Linked DNA regions of Saccharomyces cerevisiae S288C. The protein of the gene in region 2 binds, or shares a complex with, the protein of the main gene of each other region. Each region holds a gene or a part of one and is shown on either strand. Other genes may lie near its edges. A codon is read from its position in the direction of its gene.

Region 1 (7,456 bases), on a different chromosome or scaffold from region 2:
AAATGAAAATCTTCCCAATCCGTACGGAGGGGAAGAGGCACTGCCGCATCGCAAAGAAAAATAAGATTATCAGCATTATATTGTTTCTATTATTATATATGGGACTAGGTGATAAGATAAAAGTTAAAACGGGACTCTTGTATGACCTGGTCAACGATATCATAAACCGTGAAGTCATATTCTATGATGGCTTTCTCCAAGAACAGTGTTGTCACCTCTTGTGACCGCAAGTGTATCCCCACGAGGACATGGAATTGCAAATTGTAGGTAGTTTGTAACCAGTGTTTGAGTTGCTTGAGCGTCTTCAGAAACGGATCTATCAGGTACTCGTTGTATATGACATCCATAGCTATAACGTACACGGAAGAACATGTTTCACCTATGAGTGACAACTCAGGATGCAGAGAGTGGGTCTTTTTGTCTTGCAAGTTTATCTTCTCCCAGTCTAGAGCGGCTACTTCCAAATGCAACGTAGACTTAGATGGAAGTGACGCTGCGGTGATATCAGCGTCGCCAACTGGTTCGACGGTGGGAAGTTCCAATCTTAGTGATCGGGAAATGCACCGCTTTCTGGTCAACTGTGATAAGTTTTCCATGATGTTATCTTTTAATTTATTAAGAATGCCCTTCTGATCTGTCGACACGTAGGTGTCGACGAAGTTACCAAGAATCACGGGCAAAATACCTGATATTCCTGCTCCAAGTTCCAAGATACCTCTCTTGCCGCGATCAGCGCCCGTGAGGTCGACCAGCCTGGGCAACTCAAGCTTGTGCCCCTCGCAAGAAGACCCGCAGGTTACTTCCACCTGACTCCCAAGACGGAAAGGTGCAGCGCTAGTACTATACAGCAGCCAGTTGATGAAGAAAGGTGTGGTAGACCACAAAACGTATCCTGTGGTGGAGTTTCCGTTGTCTCTGGACGAGCGCAAGCTTGATATGGACTGCCCCACGCTAACATGATAGCTATCCACAGCAACATTCTGATCTTCTTCAACACTACTAGCCTTATTTCTTCTTCTCACTCGCTTTTTTTTTCTGCCGCCTTCCAGCCCAGAGGGTTCAAACGTTATCTCTAGCACACCGCCCCTTCTATCCTGAATACCCAAATCCTGCGCCAGTTTCCCGGACTGGCCCTCCAATTGTGTGTACCGTTCGAACACGTGCTCGTATATTGTTTCCTCATCCAGTAGCCATAACTTGAATGCCATTCTGCCTAGCCCATTTGCGTCTTCGCTGCCGTAACCATTCTCTCTTCTTGACAGCACTGCCTTGGTCAGTTCTCTATATTTGTCGCGCCGCCGCAAAATGCACCCACATTAAAGAAGACGACGCCAATCGACACCCTAATTTGGAGGTGTAGATGCACAATGGCACATGCAGTTGGGTGCATTGTGCCAGCAATCTCGTCTCGATTTCTCTACATGTAACTTGTATATATATTTGAGAGAAGACATAATCGTTGGTGGGACTTGGAGGCTCTTGGTAGGTCGTATTTGTGCATCTTGAGAGAAAGCGAAACAGTGCTGCAAACTCAATACGTAAAAAATAACGCAATATGTGGGCTCAATTATCATATACTAGACCAGAATCTCAGAAGACTGACTTAACGTCGTTGTTTTCCACAGATCAAGAGCAAAATCCATTAAATGACTACCAGTACCAGATCAATATTAGGGAACTGGAGGAGTATTACAACAAGACGATTTTAAACGAGGATAACATACAGGAAACAAGCAGTGAAATATCTTCGGCAGTTTCATTCTCTCCACCAAAAAATACAAACGCTATTCAACCGGGGCTACTGTATGATCCACAGTTAATGAACCCTTTTCTCCCATCCGCTCACCTGAATAGCACGGCACCTACTACTTTTAAAAAGAAACTAGAGGTACAAATAAATCCGGACTATGTCCCAAAATCTTCACAATTACCATTAACTTCACAGAATTTGCAACAGTTGTCTCAACAAAAGCCCAAAAATGATGCTTCTTTTTCATCAGAGAAGGAATCCTCAGCTCAACCTAAGGTGAAAAGCCAAGTGCAGGAAACTCCCAAACAATTATACAAGACAGAGCTGTGCGAATCATTCACTTTAAAAGGAAGTTGCCCTTATGGCAGTAAGTGTCAGTTTGCTCACGGACTCGGCGAATTAAAGGTTAAGAAATCGTGCAAGAATTTCAGGACGAAGCCCTGTGTGAATTGGGAGAAACTAGGTTATTGTCCTTATGGCAGAAGATGCTGCTTCAAACATGGCGACGACAACGACATTGCTGTTTACGTGAAAGCTGGTACTTACTGTAACGTCTCTTCGACTAGCAAACAATCAGACGAAAAGAGAAGCAATGGTCGCGGCTCCGCCAAGAAGAAGAATCTAAATGTTAAAGTAAAGGCTTTGCAGAGAATGACCTGGTGAAACAATTCCTGGCCTGGCGAAGACCGGCGTCTCAACTAAACTCAATTATTTATTATTTTTTTCTCCATGTTATGCTTTTTTTTTTTCTGCTTTTTTTTTTTTATTCTCATTTTCATGTTTGCGATATTGGTAACTCTAAAAAAAAAAAACTTTTATTTAAGTTAAGCTACTTCATGACGGTATATATGCATATTTGTGTACGTGTATTCTTCATCTATACGTAACGTTTGTTTTGTTTTGTTTTTGTTTTGTCAAATTCTCAATCATTCGGCACTACTTTTTATCGTTTCTCAGACATATTCCTTGAACATCGGCCCATTCTCTGATGGTCATTTCGTCGATTTGCGAAACAAATGGCTCGGCGCTGAACAGCTTTTCAATTAGCTCATTTAGCGGAATGGGTTCAAAGGTATATATTCGCTCCAAAAAATCAGGGAAGGCTTCAATTAGTTCGGTTAAATGATCAAATATTTCTATCTTACTGAAATTTGCCACCCCACCATGCTCACCTTTATTATCTGGATTAGCTGTGGACAGAATTTGAGATGCAGTTTGTAAGGATTGAATGATTTCAACCTTCGTCCTCATAGGTTTCAACCCCACTGTTTTCAAGCTTTGTCGAAGCTCTTTCATTGATTGGGACATCATGATCTCACAAAATTTCTCGGGAGAAGCTATGGAACTAGCTGCAGAGGTATCAATAATGTCGTTGCTAGTAGTAGGATTTTGTGTAGAATCTTTAGTCGAAATTTTGGAGGAATCTACCAATTGGATATCAGCAATGCAGAATTGGTCATCAAATTCTGTCTCCTCTTCTTCAGAATCATTTGCCTCAACTCTATAAAAGTTATGTTTCACCAGTTTGGGGTTTAGCTTAACTACGCTTTCTTGCAATAATTTAACTCTGATGGAACTTCCTATGTTATTCTTTTCTTCTTCAGTTTTTAAAGTTGTAGTAAGGTTCTTTTGAGGAATAATTGTAGGGGTTCTTGTAGCTGGTACCTGAACCTGATTTGATGCTTGTGATGTTACCCCTGTTTTGTTGTTTTCTACTTTCAAAGGTGATATTAACGATCGAACAGCTTTGAATGATTCCTGTGTTAAATCGATTATCCCATCCAAAGGCGATGTGTTTGGAGTGAAAAACTGTGTGCTGCCTATCGTGTCGGTGGCTAATGGTGGTCTTTCATCATTTTCAATGAAAACATACCGATACTGGTCTAGTGGAAACAATGTGGATGTCTCATCTGTAGTATCTGAGACAATAGAAATATTGTCATAATCATTATCCGTACTGTTTTCGCATCTTCTACTTACCTCAACAGACATAGGTTTGCAAGCTTTATAATCTGTCAGTGAAAATGCATTTATACGTGTTCCCACAGCCAGTTCAATATCTTCACCAACAACATTTCCTACCGGTTGTTGTGGCTCTAACCCGTTTCCATATTCTTGAGAGCTTGTAGAATCTCCCCGTGAAATAATTATGCTTTCTTCGTCTTTCATAATTTCACTTTTGTCATCCATTACTTGAGACAACGATAAGAAATTTACTGCACTTTGGGTATCGCGTATCCTTTCTTCCTGCTCTGGTTGAATAGCCTCATCGGGAAGCTCGGGTGGTAATTGTGATGCTGTCCAAAGTCTTTGTTGTGAGGATTCTTGATTGTCTAGAGAATTCGAGCTTTTTTCGCTTCCATATAAAAATTTCTGGACTTCATTCAAATCCGTTTCCTCACTTTGCGGAAACTTTTGTAGAAGAAGTTTCATAATATCTTTCCACTCCTGTTCACTATATGTATCAAAAGTAGCTTTTTCACCCTTGTTATTCCTTGCTCTGGGAGGTTTATCACTGTTTCCTTCATTTTGCGTCTTTATTATGTCCAAAACCTTCTTGTGCTTACCTGATAATTGCTTTAATAAGCTGGCAGTCCTTGAACGTTCGTAGTTATTAATATTGAAATCAGTTATATTTTTGATAATTTTAGGGTCTCGTTTAGTTTTAGGTTTTGTTTTGAGTTTCGAATTAGCCTTCCTTATTGCTGGTCTTCTTTTAGCTGTTACATTTGCATTGCTGTGGGTATCATCTGCGTTACTACTCTTGAACGAATACTTGAATTTTTCAAGTTTTAACTTAAGATTTGTTTCTTCCTCTGCGTCATCAAGTCGGCTTTGAATTTGAGTGTTAATGAATATGTTCTCCTCGATATTTGATCCGCCTAAATCGGGATGGGAAGTGCTGACTGGGTTACAACTTTTATCAACATCTTTATTTCTTTCTGTATCGTTTTTCGTAGTCTCTTGCGTCATAGGCGATTTTTGTGCAGTTACGCTTTTTACTTGCGTACCTATTGAATCATCATCAGATGATAAGGAAAACTGCATTTCCGGTACTTGAGTTTCCATTCCTAAAGAGTAAGCATTCTGGCTCTCTCCATTCAGGTTAGTTTGATCGGTAACGTTCACATAATCCTCGTTTTGTAAAAACTTCAAATTCCGTTGTGCCCTCTGAAGTTCCATTATTAAGTTCCCCAACTGAACTACTGGTTATTATTATGGAACAGAGATAGATAATATCTCTCTTGCTTGTTCGGAGTTCCATTCATCTCTATATTTTTAGTATGCAGCTTTCGCGTTATAAATTAAACAAAAAACCACTAAGTGACAAAGAACTACGCATATTAATAGTATACAACAAAAACAAAGGAAAAAAAGAAATGAAATCAATTGGCGAAGCAGAACAAGTTTTCTTTTCCCTACAATGATTGTAAATTCATATATGGTGCTCTACTGGTGATTTTTCATCGAACAAAAACCCGTTTTTAGGAAGGACAGAGGTCCATATCAATATAATTAAGAAGGCATGTTGGCCTCTGTTTCTTAATATATTCTAAATAAGATGTAAGGCCTTGTAATTCAGTTTGTTCACAAAATTAAAAACTGTTTAATGTTTTTTGTTTTGTTGTAGTATTCGAGCATTAAGGATAAAAAAAGCTTGTGAATAAAAATCTTTCGCTAAAAATCAATATAAGAAAATGGTAAGCAGCTGAAAGATAATAAGGTATGGTTAAAGATCACACCACCCTCTTCAATTAGCTAAGATCATAGCTAAAGGTACAAAACCGAATACGAAAGTAAATAAATTAATCAGCATAAAATTAAATAATAAACCACCTAAAATATTAGAAGCTAATCTTTAACCTGGAAGACAGGACAGAAAAGTAATTACAAGAACATATGTGAAAAAAAATAGTTGATATTTTAAACCAAATCAGAAATTTATTATACTAAAACTATATCTATGCCAATTATTTACCTAAACATCTATAACCTTCAAAAGTAAAAAAATACACAAACGTTGAATCATGAGTTTTATGTTAATTAGCTTATTGTTTAGCGTTAGTAGCGGCAGTCAATTGAGCTTGTTTAACCAAGTTTTGTGGAGCATCAAAGACTGGCAACATAACTTCAATCATTCTAATCTTAGAGTTGTCTTGGAAGTCCTTGTCTTGAGTCAACTTTTCCCATTCACCAGTGGTAGCAACTCTGTGGGTTTCGTAGTTTCTAGCACCAAAAGTTGGCAATAAGGCCAAGTGGTCCCAACCTTGAATTTCATTATATTCGGCATGAGGACCGTGAATCAATTTTTCAATGGTGTAACCGTTGTTATTCAAGACAAAAATGTATGGCTTCAAACCCCATCTAATCATGGTAGAGATTTCTTGAACAGTCAATTGTAGAGAACCGTCACCAATGAATAAAATAACTCTCTTCTTTGGATCAAGTTCTTCAGCGGCCATAGTAGCACCCAATAGAGCGCCGACTGTGAAACCAATGGAACCCCACAAGACTTGGACGATAGCGTATACATCTGTTGGGAAAGTAGTTTGGTTAATACCGAAGGCGGAAGTACCGGTTTCAGCAATAACAATATCACCTTCTCTCAAGAAGTTACCCAAATGGTTCCACATCCATTCTTGCTTCATTGGAGTGTTAGCTGGAGTAGACTTGGTAATTGGAACTCTAGCTGGGACAGCAACAGGTTTGTAGTCCTTGACGACTTCTGGAATAGCATCCAACAATTTTTGCAAGGCAAATTTCATTTGAACACCTGGGAAGGTGGCGTTTCTGATCTTGATGTGGTCAGAGTGGAATTCAACGATATTTTTGGTCTTGTAGGAGTAAGAGAAAGAACCGGTATTGAAATCAGACAACAAAGCACCGATAGACAATATCAAATCAGCAGATTCTACAGCCTTCTTAACTTCTGGTCTAGACAAGGTACCAACGTAAACACCACCGTATCTTGGGTGTTGTTCGTCAATAGCACCCTTACCCATTGGGGTGACGTAAACTGGGAATTGAGTCAAGTCCATCAACTTCTTAGTTTCAGCCTTGACATCATGTCTAGAAGCACAAGCATCAGCCAAGATAACTGGGTTCTTAGCATCCTTGATCAATTCAACAACAGTTCTAACAACTTCAGCTTCAGCTTCAGCGTCGTTTGGCTTCAAAGACAAGTCAATTGGAGTTTCCAATAACTTGGCTGGGACGTTCAAGTCAACCAAGTTAGCTGGCAAACCCAAGTAGACTGGTCTTTGGGTAGTGTAGGTGGTTCTGATACATCTGTCAATTTCAGCTGGAGCGTTAGCAATATCAGTGATCATGGCAGTGGTTTCAGAAATGTTGGCAGACATTCTGTGGAAAACAGTGAAGTCACCGTTACCCAAGGTATGATGCAACAACAATTGCTTAGCTTGAGAAGAGATGGATGGAACACCAACAACGTGCAAAACACCGACATGTTCAGCGTAAGAACCGGCAATACCATTCAAAGCAGACAATTCACCAACACCGAAGGTGGTAATAATACAGGACATACCCTTGATACGAGCGTAACCATCAGCAGCATAGGCAGCGTTCAATTCGTTAGCGTTACCAGCCCATCTCATACCTTTGACTTCATAAAGCTTATCCAAAAGAGACAAGTTAAAGTCACCTGGCAAACCGAAGACGGTGTTACAGTTGACTTGGCTCAATCTT
Region 2 (7,674 bases):
GAAAAAGCGAGGTTAAAAGCGACTAAAAAATACCAGCAAAAAGGTGACAAATAAAGTTAAACAGGGTGTATCTCACCGTGCAGCGAACACTTCAATGTGACTTGCTCAGCCAAAGACTCATCAACATTTATGGAAATTTCAATGATTCCCATTGTATTGCCTCTTCCCATTGTGGAAAAAAGAAAAATGCCAAAATTGCAAACCCTAATTTAAAAGGGTTACAGAAAAAAAAAAGCAGGTCTGAAATGCAGTTCGCCATGGTTAATATCTTTTCCTAATTTGGAAATATGTAAACAGGGCATCTTTCCTTTTTTTCTCCTAATGAAAATTGTAAGCAAAAGCATGAAACAATACTGCCACAAGAGGAGAATTCCTCCTTTTGAAGTCTAAAGCGCCATTTCAAACTAGTTTTTAGGAGGTCAGCCAAACGTTCATTCAGATTAGTTACTATCTTGGAATACTTCTAGTAGGAAAACAAAATAACATATACAGTAAGAACAATAGAAAACGTATTTATGTCCAACAAGGCAAGTGACCAATCAGCACGCACGGCTTCCATCCTCAAGACTGATATTACCAGAGAAAACACAATCACCAGAAGCAGCAGCAGCAACAACGACAACTACCATCACCACAATAACATCAATAATTACAATGAATCGGCGAAGACAGGAGAGGACGCCAATAAAGAGAATATACCTAATTTAGAGGAGGAGATTGCGGCCTTTCGAATTTTTAGGAAAAAAAGCACTTCAAACTTGAAGTCGTCACACACCACTAGCAATTTGGTAAAAAAGACAATGTTCAAAAGGGATCTTTTAAAACAGGATCCGAAGAGGAAACTCCAACTACAACAAAGATTTGCATCACCGACTGACAGGCTGGTATCACCATGCTCATTGAAATTGAATGAGCACAAAGTTAAGATGTTCGGAAAGAAAAAGAAAGTCAATCCTATGAAACTGAACTTTAAAGGCAACCTTGCTGCCGATTCAGAGGATGTAGAAATCGATGAAGATGAGGAGTATTTCTACTAAAAAAATCTGCCTTTCTAGTCATCCAAAAATAGCCAAATGCTACACTAAACCAATAAGCAAACGAGTACATAAAGAATAAGTAAATAATAATTCAACAATACCTGATTTTTTTTTTCTTACATTTTTTTTATTATTCATTAAAAGCAACCACCAAGCTTTCCAAATTATGAAACCTTGATAAAATGGCTTCAAAATCTTGATCTGGAATTCCGTTTTTTTTGAAGAGGTCGAAAATTATTTGCTTGATTAGAATTTCAAAATCAATAAACTCGTCCATATCCACGCTGTTCCGTGTCAAACGCTGGTTAGCTTTAAAAGCTAGAAAATATTGATTGTTTTCAACATATCGACTTCTGTCTACTGGTGTAACCTCTGTAATAAAGTAGCGGGCACCCGTTTTCGATGGTCCATTTATTAGATCTAGTGACCTCTCCAATAAGATATCCCAATAAGCTATTGAGAATTTCAAGCGCGTGAAATTCAAATTTATCATCAGAGAACGATGTGCGGGAACTCCAGGGCTTTTCTGTATTTTCTCATAGACATTATTTATCAGTAATTGCAGCTGTGTAACAATAAAATTGACGCCACTTTCTTCGTCTTGTAGCTCCTCGTTAAGCTGCGAAATTAACCTGCTCGTATTCACAGTAACACACTTAACCACAGAATGTTCTTCGACATTAGAAATCTCTTGTATTTTTTGTACATCCCAAAAGAATTCAGACATTTCTATTGAACCATTCCAGAAATGTTGTTCCAGAAGTTTATTCTCTTGAACCTTTACACTATTTCGTATTTTCTCGGTTTTAGCCGCCCACTTTTCACGCGTTAACAGGGTAAGCTATATCAGATGTGACTTTTCTTTTTCACTCATCTAATGTTGTTTTTCGCGTCACATTTTTTGCCAATAAATAAATACATCACAATGTTCTATATTGTATATTCAATGGAAGTCATTAGGTTATTGGGCAAGATTTCAAGGAGGTAGCATACTGGTAAATATACGATCCATGAGCACATCACTTCTGTTTGAGCAGCTAAATTTTTTAATTTTAGTGGCAGCAGAGGCTGAGCTTCCCATCGCTCACTCTACTAGAAAGCTTTTGATGGATAATTCATGCAATAACTGTCAAATATACGAGCTTTATAACGAAAATTTGAAAGATGTCAAGACGGATAAAGATTGGTTCATGAACAAATTCGGCCCGCAAACAGTACATTTTGTCATTAGTAATACAATCAACTTTCCTTTTTATAAGATAGTTTATTTCGATCTTTTGATCCCGGTGGTATCACACACTTGGGTCCAGGATTCGGTCAAGACGAAGAGACATTTGAGGACAAATATGTATTCACCTAACCCATTTCATTTGCTCCGAGACTGTCAAGTATATATTTCCAAAAGCTCGTTTAATAAGTGTGAATACATATTATACTCTGATTTGCTTCATTTATTAGGAGGCACTTTAGTCAATTACATCTCAAATAGAACGACGCATGTGATTGTTCAAAGTCCCCAGGACCCGATCATAGCAACGGTCAGTAAATTGACATTTGGCTCTTTTTCCTCTTCATCGACCAACAAGCACACCGAAAAGCCTTTGAGAGAGTGGAAATTTGTCTATCCAATATGGATATTATATCATTTCAAAATGGCGAAGCCCTTGAAGGGCGAGCTTGCTACTTTGTGTGAGCTTGATATGCAGGACACCAGTGAGGAACAGTTATTCGCAAAATGGGAAGAGGTTATTGGCGATAAGCAGACATCATCATCGCAGCTTACTCTTCATCCAAACAAAACTTTATTCAAAAATCACCACTTTGCTATCTCACCAGATTTAAACTTTTTCACACCTTTGTATTGGTTTTTGAAAGGATTTATCGAGGATTTGGACGGCAAAGTAACTCCGTTGAGTTTTTCTGACGATCTGAAGTCTGTTTACCAAGCTTTTCCTGATATTGACTGTTATATCGGCCACTCTGCTAACTCACCGATACTAGAAAAAACCAAAAGCATTAAACCGGAAATTCATGTTGGGAACGTAAGTTGGTTGTTTTATATGTTTGCGCTGCAAAAATTTACACCTGTATCGCAATGTAAACTTATTCACCAACCATTTCATGCGAAATTATTTACTTCTAAGGAATTAACAGTCGCGTACACTAATTATTTCGGCTCCCAAAGGTTTTATATTCAGAGGTTAGTAGAAATATTAGGAGGACTTAGCACACCTGAACTAACAAGAAAAAACACACACTTGATCACGAAGAGTACAATTGGCAAAAAATTCAAAGTCGCAAAAAAATGGTCACTGGACCCGCAAAATGCCATTATTGTGACAAATCATATGTGGTTAGAGCAATGTTATATGAATAATTCCAAGTTAAACCCCAAAGACAGTAGATTTCAAAATTTTAAATTGGATGATAACATGGGATGGAATATCGGCCAAATAGGAATGGATCATTCATCTCTCCCAACTCCAAAAAACCTATCGATGGTGACTTACGACACGCAATCCATATCAGAGAAGCCGCCTCCCACAAATGATCAAATGGATCAAATTAACGATAACACCAATGTATTATCAAAGAAAGATGGTACGCCCATTAGTAGTTTTGAGAACTCAATTGATGAAAAGATTGACAAATTACAAAAAATATCAGGAGAGGTGGCTGTAACCCATTCTGGAGATTTAGAACGGAGTTTTGTTTCCAGACCTTCAAGGGCAAGTTTTCCAGTAGTTGACAGTAAAAAATCTAATTTACAAAAGAAAGACTCAAACTCAGATATTAGTATGGAAACAGAGGTTTTCTGTGAAGGACATGAAAAAAGAGAAGAAAAGGAGTTTACGAAACCTATTACGGAGTATGATGCACCTAAGAAACAAGAAATAAGGGAACAGTCACGCAAGAAGAATGACATAGATTATAAAAAAGAAGAGGAAGAAACGGAGCTGCAAGTTCAGCTAGGACAACGAACTAAACGAGAGATCAAAACTTCGAAGAAAAATGAAAAGGAGAAAGAAACCAATGAATGTCACATTGAAGTAGATCAAATGACGAATGAAAAGCAAGGGGAGGAAAGTACAGGAAAACTGATTTCTACGGAAGACGTCACTTCTAAAAAAGATACAGATAAATTCTCGCATTTGTTTGAAGGATTATCTGATAATGATGATCACATTAATGACGAAAAACCGGCAGTTAATTCCAAATATACCACACCCAAGACGTCTCAAAATATTACGAGTGGCGTTGATACTCCAACCACCGCGCAAACGCAAGTTTTTATGCCATCAAGTGGCAATTCAAGGTTAGCAAAGACACAAGCTGCGAAGAGATTGCATACAGATATTGAATCATTAAATGAATTTCAGAAAAACTTTAAAAGGAAGAGAATTGATAGCGAGGAGATTTCATTGTCCCAAGATGTTGAAAGGTCAAATAATAACAAAGAACTGGCTACTAAAGCGGAAAAGATATTAGCTAGATTTAATGAACTACCAAATTATGACCTAAAAGCGGTTTGCACCGGTTGTTTCCATGATGGATTTAATGAGGTTGACATCGAAATATTGAACCAACTAGGTATAAAAATTTTTGACAATATTAAAGAAACGGATAAATTGAATTGTATTTTTGCTCCAAAGATTTTGAGAACCGAGAAATTTTTAAAAAGCTTAAGTTTTGAACCGTTAAAATTCGCATTGAAACCTGAATTTATTATTGATTTACTGAAACAAATTCATTCTAAAAAAGATAAACTTTCTCAAATAAATATAAACTTGTTTGATTATGAGATAAATGGAATTAATGAGAGTATAATATCAAAAACCAAACTACCTACTAAGGTGTTCGAAAGAGCGAATATTAGATGCATTAACTTAGTCAATGATATACCGGGTGGTGTAGATACAATAGGCTCTGTTCTAAAGGCACATGGTATCGAAAAAATCAACGTTTTACGTAGTAAGAAATGCACATTTGAAGACATAATCCCAAATGACGTTTCTAAGCAGGAAAACGGAGGCATTTTTAAATACGTACTTATCGTCACCAAAGCTTCACAGGTTAAAAAATTTACCAAACTGATTAATGATCGTGATAAAAACGAAACAATTTTGATTGTTGAATGGAATTGGTGTGTTGAATCAATTTTTCATCTCAATGTTGATTTTACATCAAAGAAAAATGTTTTGTATCAAAAGAAAAATAACTAAAAATGGACACTATATATTACGTCATCTGACATACGACACTGATAACAAATAAATATATAATAATTATAAAGATGCGTTGTAGAAAATCTTATGTTCAACAAACAACCCACATATGATTAACAGACCATTTTAAATGTCTAGTTAGAAACAATTATTTGGTACTGTCTTTGAATTAGATTGTTTAATAAAGCATTTCTAATATAGGATACAAAGGGTCAAATAGTACCGTGAGTAGAATCATTTATTCCACACTTTATCCGCAAACCTTTTAATTTTTCTACAATTTCATGGATAAAAACAGATTCATGGCCAGAATGCGTAAAGCAACTCTATTGTACAATTTTCCACTCTGAGATATTCACACAGCGGAGAGCCCTTCTACTCAATGCGTCAAGAACAATGTTCCAAACCTAGTGTATTTTAGGTATATTATTACGAGAGTATCCGCAATGTTAATGACGCAAAATTTAATGGCTCAAGCCAACTACTAACGTTAGTAAGAACTTTTTGATCTAATAATTAAACAGGTTACATCCATAGATTTACGTCAGAAATCTTAAATAATGTTTACATGCGAACAGTACCAAGATACATATATGTGGAGCGGATGAGAGATAAAATTGGGTTAAATGGGAAACATTACGGTATGATGCATAATTTTGAGTTTGGGCTTATTATCCTCGTGCGTATTGTATCGTCTCAATATGAGTGAAGATAAATCACCTATTACCCGAACTTTGAAGAGAACACTCTGAAAATTTGGTGAATAAGAAAGGGCTGTAGGTATTATTCGCGAAGCTTTCATTTATTGTAGTGAAAACTAGGGTGACAGAAGCTGATGGTCTGTTCTTCGATTTAGTACTGCCAATTTCAAGTTTTTCACTTCTATAGCTTTGGTATTGGTCATTGTAGAACAATTTTATAATGCATGAACACAAAGCGGAGCTACGGCTAATAACCGTTGCACTTAACGAAGCATCCACCGATTCCCCCTCTTTTAGAGCTTCTGTCAATTATTTCCATACCAGAATGGAATCTCTGAGTAGTTGGATGCACAGTACTGTGGATTATGTAGAAAATACGTACAAGCCTTCGTTCCAAGACTTCCAAAGAATAAAGGAAACACTATTTTCACAGCTGCTCCCTTCTCCTATATTACTCTCCAATGGATTTGTCAGTAACCAGCCATATACTCCCTTGCTTGTAAGAGACTTTACTAGAGATGTCAGTGACCTTTCAAATACGGTTATGAAAATAATTTTAGGTGATGAAAACTCACAATACACTGCGGCATTGTCTGCTTTGAGCTCTGATGCTATTAACCCTTACTTCAACAAGAGAAAAACTTTTGAATACTACCAAAGGAAGTATGATTCGTTTTTAACTGACTTTTTAGCGGCCACTAATGATGGCAATACTTTAATTCCACAAAATCTGCAAAATGAAACATTCAAATTAGTCGATATTAAACACAAATATATAGAAGCTTCCTTGGATTTGACTGAGGCTATTTCGTTAATGAAAGTTAATTTGGATAAATTCCTGATAGAGACAATAGACATTGTGCGCAAAAATAACGTTATTACTACCAAGGACACCAAGGACGTTATCGACATTACTCCCGAACTTACGGAAACATTAAAGGATTGGACCGATTGGATAGAAAGTAACCTTCAGACTTTACAAGCATTGTCATCCAAGCTATCTGAAGCTAAGTATGCCATTCTGAAGCTCAGCTTGGCAAGAATGAAGCCATCTCGCCTGATACAAGACTATGATTTGAAAAGCATACAAAATTTGAAGTTTAACCTTCCAAAATCGATAAGTAACGGAAATAATTCTGAGGAAAAAGGGCTATCGGGTTGGTTGTACATGAAAACTACAGTTGGTCATGATCCGAAAAGAGTTGTGTGGGTAAGAAGATGGTGCTTTCTACAGAACAATGTTTTTGGAGTTTTTTCACTGTCGCCTAGCAAAACTTATGTCGAAGAAACCGATAAATTCGGTATATTATGGATAACTGTAGAATATCTGCCCAAAGAACCTAGAAATTTTTGTTTCAAATTGAGGATTCAAAATCCAAATTGCAAAACAGAAGAAGAAAATACATACATAGATATCATCCTGCAAGCTGAAAGTATTGACGAGTTAAAATCGTGGATAAACACCTTAACTTCTCACAAAAGAATCGCATTGTCGATAAAGGAGGAAAACGATCCTCGTTATCAATTGGCGAGAAAAAAAATTGAACCTCAATTTTTCGAGTTTGCTTCAAGTAGCTCAACGTCAACAGATAAATTATTAACTTCATTTTCCAGTAAAACTTTGACATTGGTAGAAGAGCTAAAAAAAAATTATATGTCAGAGGATGATATATACTCTATCATTGATAATAAGGCATACCATCTGAGAGT

What was found. The genes of interacting proteins can lie anywhere in the genome.
Region 1: the proteins of RTT107 (region 2) and SLX4 are in contact, whole or in part, in a crystal structure (PDB 6J0Y), measured with the Saccharomyces cerevisiae proteins. Residues at the interface, in NP_012024.1 of Saccharomyces cerevisiae: Thr105 (codon at 2,360), Lys106 (codon at 2,363), Arg107 (codon at 2,366), His108 (codon at 2,369), Leu109 (codon at 2,372), Arg110 (codon at 2,375), Gln126 (codon at 2,423), Tyr128 (codon at 2,429), Lys131 (codon at 2,438), Ser132 (codon at 2,441), Ser133 (codon at 2,444), Phe134 (codon at 2,447), Asn135 (codon at 2,450), Asn155 (codon at 2,510), Tyr156 (codon at 2,513), Ile157 (codon at 2,516), Ser158 (codon at 2,519), Arg160 (codon at 2,525), Pro172 (codon at 2,561), Ile173 (codon at 2,564), Ala175 (codon at 2,570), Thr176 (codon at 2,573), Val177 (codon at 2,576), Lys179 (codon at 2,582), Leu180 (codon at 2,585), Thr181 (codon at 2,588), Phe182 (codon at 2,591), Gly183 (codon at 2,594), Leu198 (codon at 2,639), Arg392 (codon at 3,221); in NP_013236.1 of Saccharomyces cerevisiae: Ile538 (codon at 3,322), Arg539 (codon at 3,319), Val540 (codon at 3,316), Lys541 (codon at 3,313), Leu542 (codon at 3,310), Ser546 (codon at 3,298), Lys549 (codon at 3,289), Leu550 (codon at 3,286), Asn551 (codon at 3,283), Leu554 (codon at 3,274), Tyr560 (codon at 3,256), Arg561 (codon at 3,253), Val562 (codon at 3,250), Glu563 (codon at 3,247), Ala564 (codon at 3,244), Asn565 (codon at 3,241), Asp566 (codon at 3,238), Ser567 (codon at 3,235), Glu568 (codon at 3,232), Glu569 (codon at 3,229), Glu570 (codon at 3,226), Glu571 (codon at 3,223), Thr572 (codon at 3,220), Phe574 (codon at 3,214), Ile580 (codon at 3,196), Ile583 (codon at 3,187), Gln584 (codon at 3,184), Leu585 (codon at 3,181), Val586 (codon at 3,178).

The regions. Positions count from the first base shown.
Region 1 is NC_001144.5:410,758-418,213, reverse strand, and holds SLX4 (Slx4p), read right to left. Parts: upstream 4,934-7,456; coding exon 2,687-4,933; downstream 1-2,686. Other genes in the region: RKM5 (S-adenosylmethionine-dependent methyltransferase), read right to left, coding at 105-1,208; TIS11 (Tis11p), read left to right, coding at 1,556-2,413; PDC5 (indolepyruvate decarboxylase 5), read right to left, coding at 5,800-7,456. UniProt on the Saccharomyces cerevisiae protein: Regulatory subunit that interacts with and increases the activity of different structure-specific endonucleases. Has several distinct roles in protecting genome stability by resolving diverse forms of deleterious DNA structures.
Region 2 is NC_001140.6:400,919-408,592, forward strand, and holds RTT107 (Rtt107p), read left to right. Parts: upstream 1-2,047; coding exon 2,048-5,260; downstream 5,261-7,674. Other genes in the region: SPO12 (Spo12p), read left to right, coding at 516-1,037; SPO16 (Spo16p), read right to left, coding at 1,168-1,764; LAM1 (Lam1p), read left to right, coding at 6,185-7,674. UniProt on the Saccharomyces cerevisiae protein: Required for resumption of chromosome replication after DNA damage, specifically in S phase. Is recruited to chromatin in the presence of RTT109 and RTT101 in response to stalled replication forks and acts as a scaffold during DNA repair.